Linked DNA regions of Cricetulus griseus. The protein of the gene in region 2 interacts with the protein of the main gene of each other region in a pairwise test. Links are inferred from orthologs where the notes say so. Each region holds a gene or a part of one and is shown on either strand. Other genes may lie near its edges.

Region 1 (4,313 bases), on a different chromosome or scaffold from region 2:
AGCATCAAATGCTAAAGGGTTACATTTACTAGCACCTCCAAATGTCTCCAGGGAATGGATTCATGAACAGCAACCCCCGAGTGGAGTCCTGCCTTCCTAACAGATAGCTGGCTAGGATAGTGGTGCCACTGCCTATAAGAATACCTAGTATAAAGCCAGGTGGTGGTGGCGTACTCCTTTAATTCCAGTGCTCGGGAAGCAGAGACAAGCGAATCTCTGAGTTCAAGACCAGCCCTGGTCTACAGAATGAGTTCCAGGATATGTTCCAAAGCTACAGAGAAACCTTGTCTCAAAAAAACCAAAATAACCCAACAACAACAACAACAAAAACCAAAAATACCTAGTATAGAGAAAACAATATGTTCTTGAGAAACAGTTGTAAATTCTGTTCAAAGTTTAGTTCTAGAATGGCTCAGTGGTATGTTGCATGCACACAATCCTGGAATACCAAATACACAAAAGCATTTAACATACAAGTTAGCAAAATTGGAGAAAATATGCTCAAAAGAGCAGCCATTATTCTTTCAGCTGCATACTGACGAGCTAACAGCTGGGATTTCACGTCTCCTATTAGTACTCCATATGCTGTTTAAGCTATGGCAAAGTCTACTGTTGTGATAACAGATGTAAAAGGCTTTGGAAAGTATAGGAGAAATTCCAAGTGGAAATTGACAGTAAATAAGTTCAGATATTAGGATTTGCTAAACATGAAGATGTGACAACTTCATTTTGATCCGAAGTTAAGAATCCCACACATAGTCCCAAACGTGTTTTGTTTATTGCTCAGTAAATTGGGATATTAAAATTGGTTGTCCTGACAACTTTCTGGGGAAGCAGGTTAGAGTAGGCACTGGTTAGAGGAAAGCTGTGAAAACAGTAATCCTGTGTGAGAGAGAGCTTCAATTCAGGGCAACAATTATTAAATCACATTTCTATTATGAAGTGTTATATATGATGTTAGACAAGTATAACCAGCCTACCCTTGAAGATTTTGGATGTTTCTTAAATATGGCAAAGCAAAATCTCTTGCTTGGATTATATGAACTGCTTTCATATAGTAGAATGTTGCAATCGCATGATGACTGCTTCAGTCCTTAAGTATCAAAGTAGGTCATCAATCCTTATGGGGCAAATCTGAAATAGGCTAAGTATGTGACACATTCGTCTTCTGGACATGGAGAAATGTGATAGCAAATCGGCATTGTAACTGCTAGGTAGCTTCAATTATACAAGTACAGGTATCCATCTGGGCTTAAGTCGTTGCACATTAAGGGATCAAGACAGACAGAAATAAATAACAAATTACCACCTGTCCAGAGAGGTACCTGTTTTCTTTTTCTCTTTTCTAAGTAAGGGTCATTCAAGTCCACATTTTTCTTTTCTATCAAACTCAGTGGAATTGTGAACAAGTAGCCGTGTTTAATAGCCAACTCAAAGATGATAATTTTCACTACAAGTTTAGAGTGGAAATAATTCTCTAGAATAGAACAAACAGGATGCTTGGAAGAATTCCTGGTGATCACTCTGAATGGTGGTTAAGAATGTTTGCTCTGGAGTCTGCAGTGAAAACCTCATTTCCCCAACAGTATCTACTTGAGCCAGAGGTAACCTATGGCAACACATGATGTTATTGGGAGAATTAAAGGCGCCCATCATTGTGTTAAGAGCCTATCAGTGTCCTCAAGCGAAAAATCCTACTACGATTGTGCAAGAAAATGGGCCACTGGCTTCTAACTGAGGGCACTCTGAGATTGTTCTCAGGAGATGCCACAATCAAGAAAGCCAAGGCAGGATAATTTCTAATTGAAAATCCGAATGAAAAAAAAAAGGCATAATAGAACTCTTCTCACATAATTTCACTTGGCACCCGATAAACGACGCCAAAGTAATATATCAAAACAAAACAGTTTGACACCCAATTGTAAGTTGTACACTGGGGTGCTAAGGTCCGAACAGTGTCTACAGGCTCCTCATCCCGAGTGCGTGGGATCAAAAATACTAGCTCCCATATTCGGCTTTAGGGAGTCCACCTAACTCAGCTTCTGCTTTCTGGGAAACGGGATAACAAAACATCACTCTCAGAGAGTGATGGCGCGGGTACCGCACTGCTGTGCGGTACTGCACCCCCACCACCTGCAGCGGCTTGCAGACTCTGCGGGCCATGAAAAGCGCATGAGGGCGAGCAGGGCAGCAGGACCAGAAGCAGAGTCAGCAGCTTGCTTCTAGAGCGGGGCACACTGGTTCACCCCTGCCCACCTCAGAGGTCCCCGAAGGAGATAGATCCGCTCATCCCCCGAGAAAGCGCTTTCTTAAAGCGCCGAGCATCAGCCAGCGTTGCACATCCGCAGGGCCGAGGGCCGCGCGCTTGCTCCCGGCGGCCGGGATGGGCGGATCCGCTGCCAGGTGAGAGTGAGGAGCCCCCGGCCGCGCATCCCAGACCACCAGCCTAAGGAACTTTCTAGTACTTTCCACACCTGTCGCCTGCCGGGCCTCCACCCCCCAACCCCGGCGACCTCGCCCTCACCTTGTTGGAGGTCCCGGTGGTCGTACCACGGTTCATCTTCTATCTCAAACTCCTCCACCAGGTTATCTGCCAGCATGTCGCTGGGGGTGTCCGGGGGCAGCGGGCTCTGCCGCCACCGTGCCGTTTCGGCCGCTGCCCCGGGCTGTCCCCCGGCCCCTCCGCCCTCAGCCAGAGCCGCCCTCGGGCGGGACGCGCCGGCCCCGCCGCAACTCCCGCCGCCGGCCCGCGTCCGCCTCGCGCCGCCCAACGGCCAGCGCCCTAGAGAGCGCACCCCGGGTGGCGCCCGCAGCCGGCACCACACACCCGCTGCCCGGCCCAACGTGGCACTTTGGCAGAGCCCTCCCAGGCCGGGGAGACGATTCAAACCCGGGCGGCGCCTTGACCAATTGCGAATGGGTCCCTGGTAGAGCGACAGCGACTTCAGCCAATAGTATCTCAAAGAAGGTCGCGGGCCCGAGTGTCTTTGGCCAATAGACGCTCAGGAAGGAACAAAGGAGGCGGGTAAAGGCGGAGAGGGTGCGGCCGGCAGCCCCGCCCCTTTTGTTAGCGTCTCGTCTTCTCAGTGAATACACTCCTGTTCCGGAGCCTGGTGGAGGCGGCTGCGGCGACCCTCTCGGCTCCCTGGCGTGTCTTGTACCCAACTGAGGAGGACTCCCGGCTCTGGGCAGTGGGCATCATTTTCCCACCGAAGGTTTCGAAAGCGGGACAGCCCTCCTCGGCTTTGCCCTCGGTGATGCGCGGAGGGAGATTCAGGGTCCGTCGCGAGGTTAAGGCCGAGAGAACGCTATTGAGCCTAAGCTGCTCCTGAATGTCTGAGTTTGGGGGGATGGCAATTAACTCCTAAAACGGCGGTCACCAGCACCACTTGACATTCGAAGGCTGGGACCGGCCCGTGGGAAACGCCTCCCTTGGCAAAAGTTGCCAGCAGTTTTGCATAATTTTTTAAACGTTCATAGAGCCCAAGGTAAACATCTGGGAGCAGGCATTGCACTTGTGGCCAGCAGGGCAGTGTCCGCTTGGTGACGCAGACGTAATTGTTTCTTGGGTTGAGCTTTTAGCACCTTCGGGTGCCTCACGTGAAAACTCTAAAACGGAGAAAGGTCGGCGCAGCTGTTAGGATGTTAGAGCTAATAGATAATGTCTAAGGAGGAAACGAGAAGAATTATAACAAGTGAGGGGAGAGAAGTCAACGTTTAGCTTTGGCAATAGTGAGTCGCTAGATACCTCTTGAAGTTAGTAACGCCTTCATACACATCCGGAGTGTCACCAGAACTAAGATGGAAAGCAGTTATCCAAAAAAAAAAAAAAAAAAAAAAAAGTACACAAATTACTATGGTTAAAAATAGGAGAAATTGCTAGGTAGAAGTTACAGATCCTCAGCTACTTTTGTTTTTCCATATAAACGAATAAGGTCTTGGGTAATTTGGAGAAAGGAAAACTTCATCCTAATTTATTTTTTCAGTGCTAAGGATGAACCTAGTGCCTCGTACATGCCAGACAATCACTACCCCTAAGCTACATCTCCAGCCCATCTTCATTCTTGTGGGTTATAAAATCAACCTTGCTTAAATCATTGTAACACTAAGTGCTTGCTCCTGGGATAGTGGTCTGGTGAAGGCCAAGAAAGCCTCCCCAGTGTAAGTTTTATTTTTGTTGTTTGCACAGAGTCTCACTGTGTAGCCCCAGCTGGCCAGACACATGTAGATTAGGCTGACCTGGAACTCACAGAAATCCACTGACTCAGCCTCCAGAGTGCTGGGATAAAAACCATGCATTACCACATCCTTTT
Region 2 (3,647 bases):
CCCGTTTACATTAACCTATGTCCTAGCATAGGTTCACCTTGCACCTCCTGTCTCCTCTGTGGCTCCTGGATTCTCACACACGCCTAGATTCCTCCTCCTCTTCCTTTTTCTCCCAGGAAATCCTGCCTATACCTCCTGCCTAGCTACTGGCTAATCAGCTTTTTATGACACCAATCACAGCAATACAGCTTCACACTGTGTACAGATAGCCCACAAGTCTACCAACCCTACAGTCTACCAACTACAGTCTACCAATCCTATAGCCTACCAACTACAGTCTACTAATCCTACAGCCTACCAACCCTACAGCCTACCAACTACAGTCTAAACTACAGTCTACCAATCCTACAGTCTACCAACTACATTCTCCAATCCTACAGCCTACCAATCCTACAGCCTACCAACTACAGTCTACCAACTACAATCTACCAACCCTACAGCCTACCAACTACAGTCTAAACTACAGTCTACCAATCCTACAGTCTACCAACTACAGTCTACCAACTACAGTCTACCAACTACAGTCTATTAACTACAGTCTACCAATCCTACAGTCTACCAACTACAGCCTACCAATCCTACAGTCTACCAATCCTACAGTCTACCAATCCTATGAGGAAGGCATGATGGGAGTGACTGTTCATGGCAGCAGGAATACGAGACAATTGTTCCTCACATGACAACAGTCTGGGAGAACACAGGCTATAACCACAAGTAGGTACAACCTTCAAGGCCCATTCCCACTGACACGCTTGTACCAGCCAGGCCTCGGGTCTCAGAGGCTCCACAACCTCACAGAATAGATTCACCAGCTAGGGACCAGGAATTCAGACACAGAAGCCCGTAGAGGACTTTTCACACACAAACCATTATAGATCCCAAAACAAAAGTTAGACAACTATATGTCCACAGAGCTTCTGCCACAGACAGAATAACATCCATTCTCAAAAGATCCTTTTACTAATGACTGTCATGGCCTTTCTCTAGAGTCCTTTCAACTCTGCTTCACCACAGCATACTGGTTACTCAGAGGCCACAAGGAACACTGCATCAGAGGCTCTTAGGTGGCCAGCTTACCCAGATCACAGGTCCATTCCCAGGTCTTGCCTGCTGTTTCCAAATAGGTACCTACAAAACAGAGGACATTCGTGAGTCTCATTCAAACCCGTCTAGATTCTTTATACCACCAATACACTAGTAAGTAATAAACTATTCCTTAGTGGACTGGGGAGATGGGACAGCAGATCTCACACACTGGCCGCTCCTGGAGAAGACCTAGGATTGCTCCCAGCACCCACATGGCAACTCACACACTGGCTGCTCCTGGAGAAGACAGAATGCTCCCAGCACCCACATGGTAGCTAATAGACATCTCTAACTCCAGGTCCAAGGGATCCAAGCCCTTCTTCTGGCCTCTGCAGGCACAGTGCACACAAGGTACACAGACCTGTATGTAGGCAAAGCACCTGTAAACATTTTAAAAAATTAGCCAGGCATAGTTGCACATGCCTTTAATCCCAACACTCAAAAGCAGAGGTAGGTGGTCCTCTGAGTTTGAAGCCAGTCAGGGATACATAGTGAGACCCAATTTCAGGATAAATAGATAAATTAAGTTAAATTCTGAAGTCAAAAACGTTTCTGTTTCTAAGCAATCAAGGTGAAAGAATAAAATCTAAACCCTACGCGCAGGCACCCTGCACAGTGAGAGTTCACAAGAACTGAAGATACTGCAGTGTTCTCCAGAGAGCAAGGGGCCTGCACCAGGAAGCAGAGGCCAGGCGGGGTCAGTCCTCAGTTACTCATGAGCCCTCTCTGCATCTCATCTTCTTCACGGATTAGGTGGAGAAAGTTAGCAGGTCACGGAGGCTCGTGCCTGAAATCCCAGCCTCAGCTATGTGATGACTGTGAAGCTAGTGGGCTGAGATACATGCGACCCGTCTCCAAAACAAAAGTAAAGTCAATAAAGTAAAACAGAGAAAGTCGTTTAGACCCTGCCTATTTCATAGAACTTCTAAGAGCCCCGAATGAGGCAACGTCCACAAAAGTGTTTGGAAATCCCAAAGGGCTACTTCTAATGCTCCCTGAAAGTTTACTCCAGCTCTATTCAAACTTCAGACACAAATCTTTACTTCAAATCAGAGTTATATGGCTTAATTATACAATTAAAAAAGCCCCAAGCTAGACACAGAGCATGCCTATAAACCCAGTACTCAGAGGGTCCCCACAAGTTTGTGCCCAGCGTGGTCTACACAATGGGTTCCAGGTCAGCCAAGGTCTACACTATGAGACTCTGTTGCAAAAAGCAAGTTGCTTGTGCATTCTACATAAACATGCCATTACATACTTCATTACCTACAAGCAAGGGACCAAATTCTCCTGAACCAAATCTAATGAAGAAAAAGAAAGCTGTTTGAAAGGCTGCTGTTACAAAGCACATTTGAGAACAGAATAGCTTCCAGACTGCGCTGAGCTTCTGATGTCACCGCCATCACTCACCAACTTACCATCTTCTTCTCATTTGATATGAAGACAGCGGAACACTCTTCCAAGGGATACTGGTCATGGGTTTTGATGTATTCACAGAGCTTCCAAATGTTCTCCTCGCTAAAATAAAATAATTGTTTAATCCATATCATTGGAAAGGACCTTAACCACCTCATCAGAGAGCTGGGTAACAGTGACTCTCCTCTAAGGCACAGTCAACAAGCTGCTAGCCAACCTGTACTGTGCACGCATCCAGACAGAGGACCACACCCACTGAAGACTATGACCTGTAAAAGAGTGTGCCAGGATTCCAGAAGCTGAGAAACCATTGGGATCCAAACTCAACACTAACAAGAAAAGCAGCTTTGTATTCTGTCTTCTCTAAGAACCGCTTGTCTCCTCTATAAAATGCACGTTTTCACGTACACCATAACCCTCCAGAAATCCCAATTAATAGAGAAATGTCACAGGACTTTTTTGTTTGGTTGTTTTGGTTATCAAGACAGGGTTTCTCTGTGTAACTGACCTAACTATGCTGGAACTCTCTCGGTAGACCAGGCTGGCCTTGAATTCAGAGATCTGCCTGCCTCTGCCTCTGGAATGTTGGGCTTAAAGGCGTGCACCACCACCGCCAAGCTCTTGACAGAATGTTTTAAATTAGATTTGATATAGAATTTAGTCCCTTAGTTGTAGCTGACAAACTATATGATGGCATCTTTATGCAGACTGCGTCCCCTCCTTCCCTCCCTCCCTCCCTCTCTTCCTTCCTTCCTCCCTTTTTGAGACAAATGTCTCATAATGTAGACCTTGGCTGACCTGGAACTCGATGTGTGGACCAAACTGGCCACAAACTTGTGGTGACCTTTTGAGTACTTGTGAACTACAGGCACGCTCCATGTGTGGTTTAGAGCCTTGTTAATTGCATAATTAGAGACAGACAGACATGAGAGACATACATACACACACTACATACATACATGCATGCATGTTTCCAAGCACTCAACGTCAAGGTGAAGGCGTGTGAAGCCCGCTCCTAAGCGCAGGCACCCTGCACAGTGAGAGTTCACCAGAACTGAAGATACTGCAGTGTTCTGCAGAGAGCAGGGGGCCTGCACCAGGAAGCAGAGGCCAGGCGGGGTCAGTCCTGTCCTTCCCATGAGATC

Evidence for each region.
Region 1: the proteins of protein N-terminal glutamine amidohydrolase (region 2) and Cdr2 interact in binary tests that used the Homo sapiens proteins (3 or more experiments, as listed by UniProt). The two-hybrid records come from large-scale screens. The link is inferred for Cricetulus griseus from reciprocal best matches to the Homo sapiens genes NTAQ1 and CDR2.

What each region holds. Positions count from the first base shown.
Region 1 is NC_048596.1:79,675,590-79,679,902, reverse strand, and holds the start of Cdr2 (cerebellar degeneration-related protein 2), read right to left. Parts: upstream 2,856-4,313; 5' UTR 2,601-2,855; coding exon 2,525-2,600; intron 1-2,524.
Region 2 is NC_048603.1:29,479,013-29,482,659, forward strand, and holds part of protein N-terminal glutamine amidohydrolase, read right to left. Parts: intron 2,605-3,647; coding exon 2,505-2,604; intron 1,129-2,504; coding exon 1,078-1,128; intron 1-1,077. UniProt on the Homo sapiens protein: Mediates the side-chain deamidation of N-terminal glutamine residues to glutamate, an important step in N-end rule pathway of protein degradation.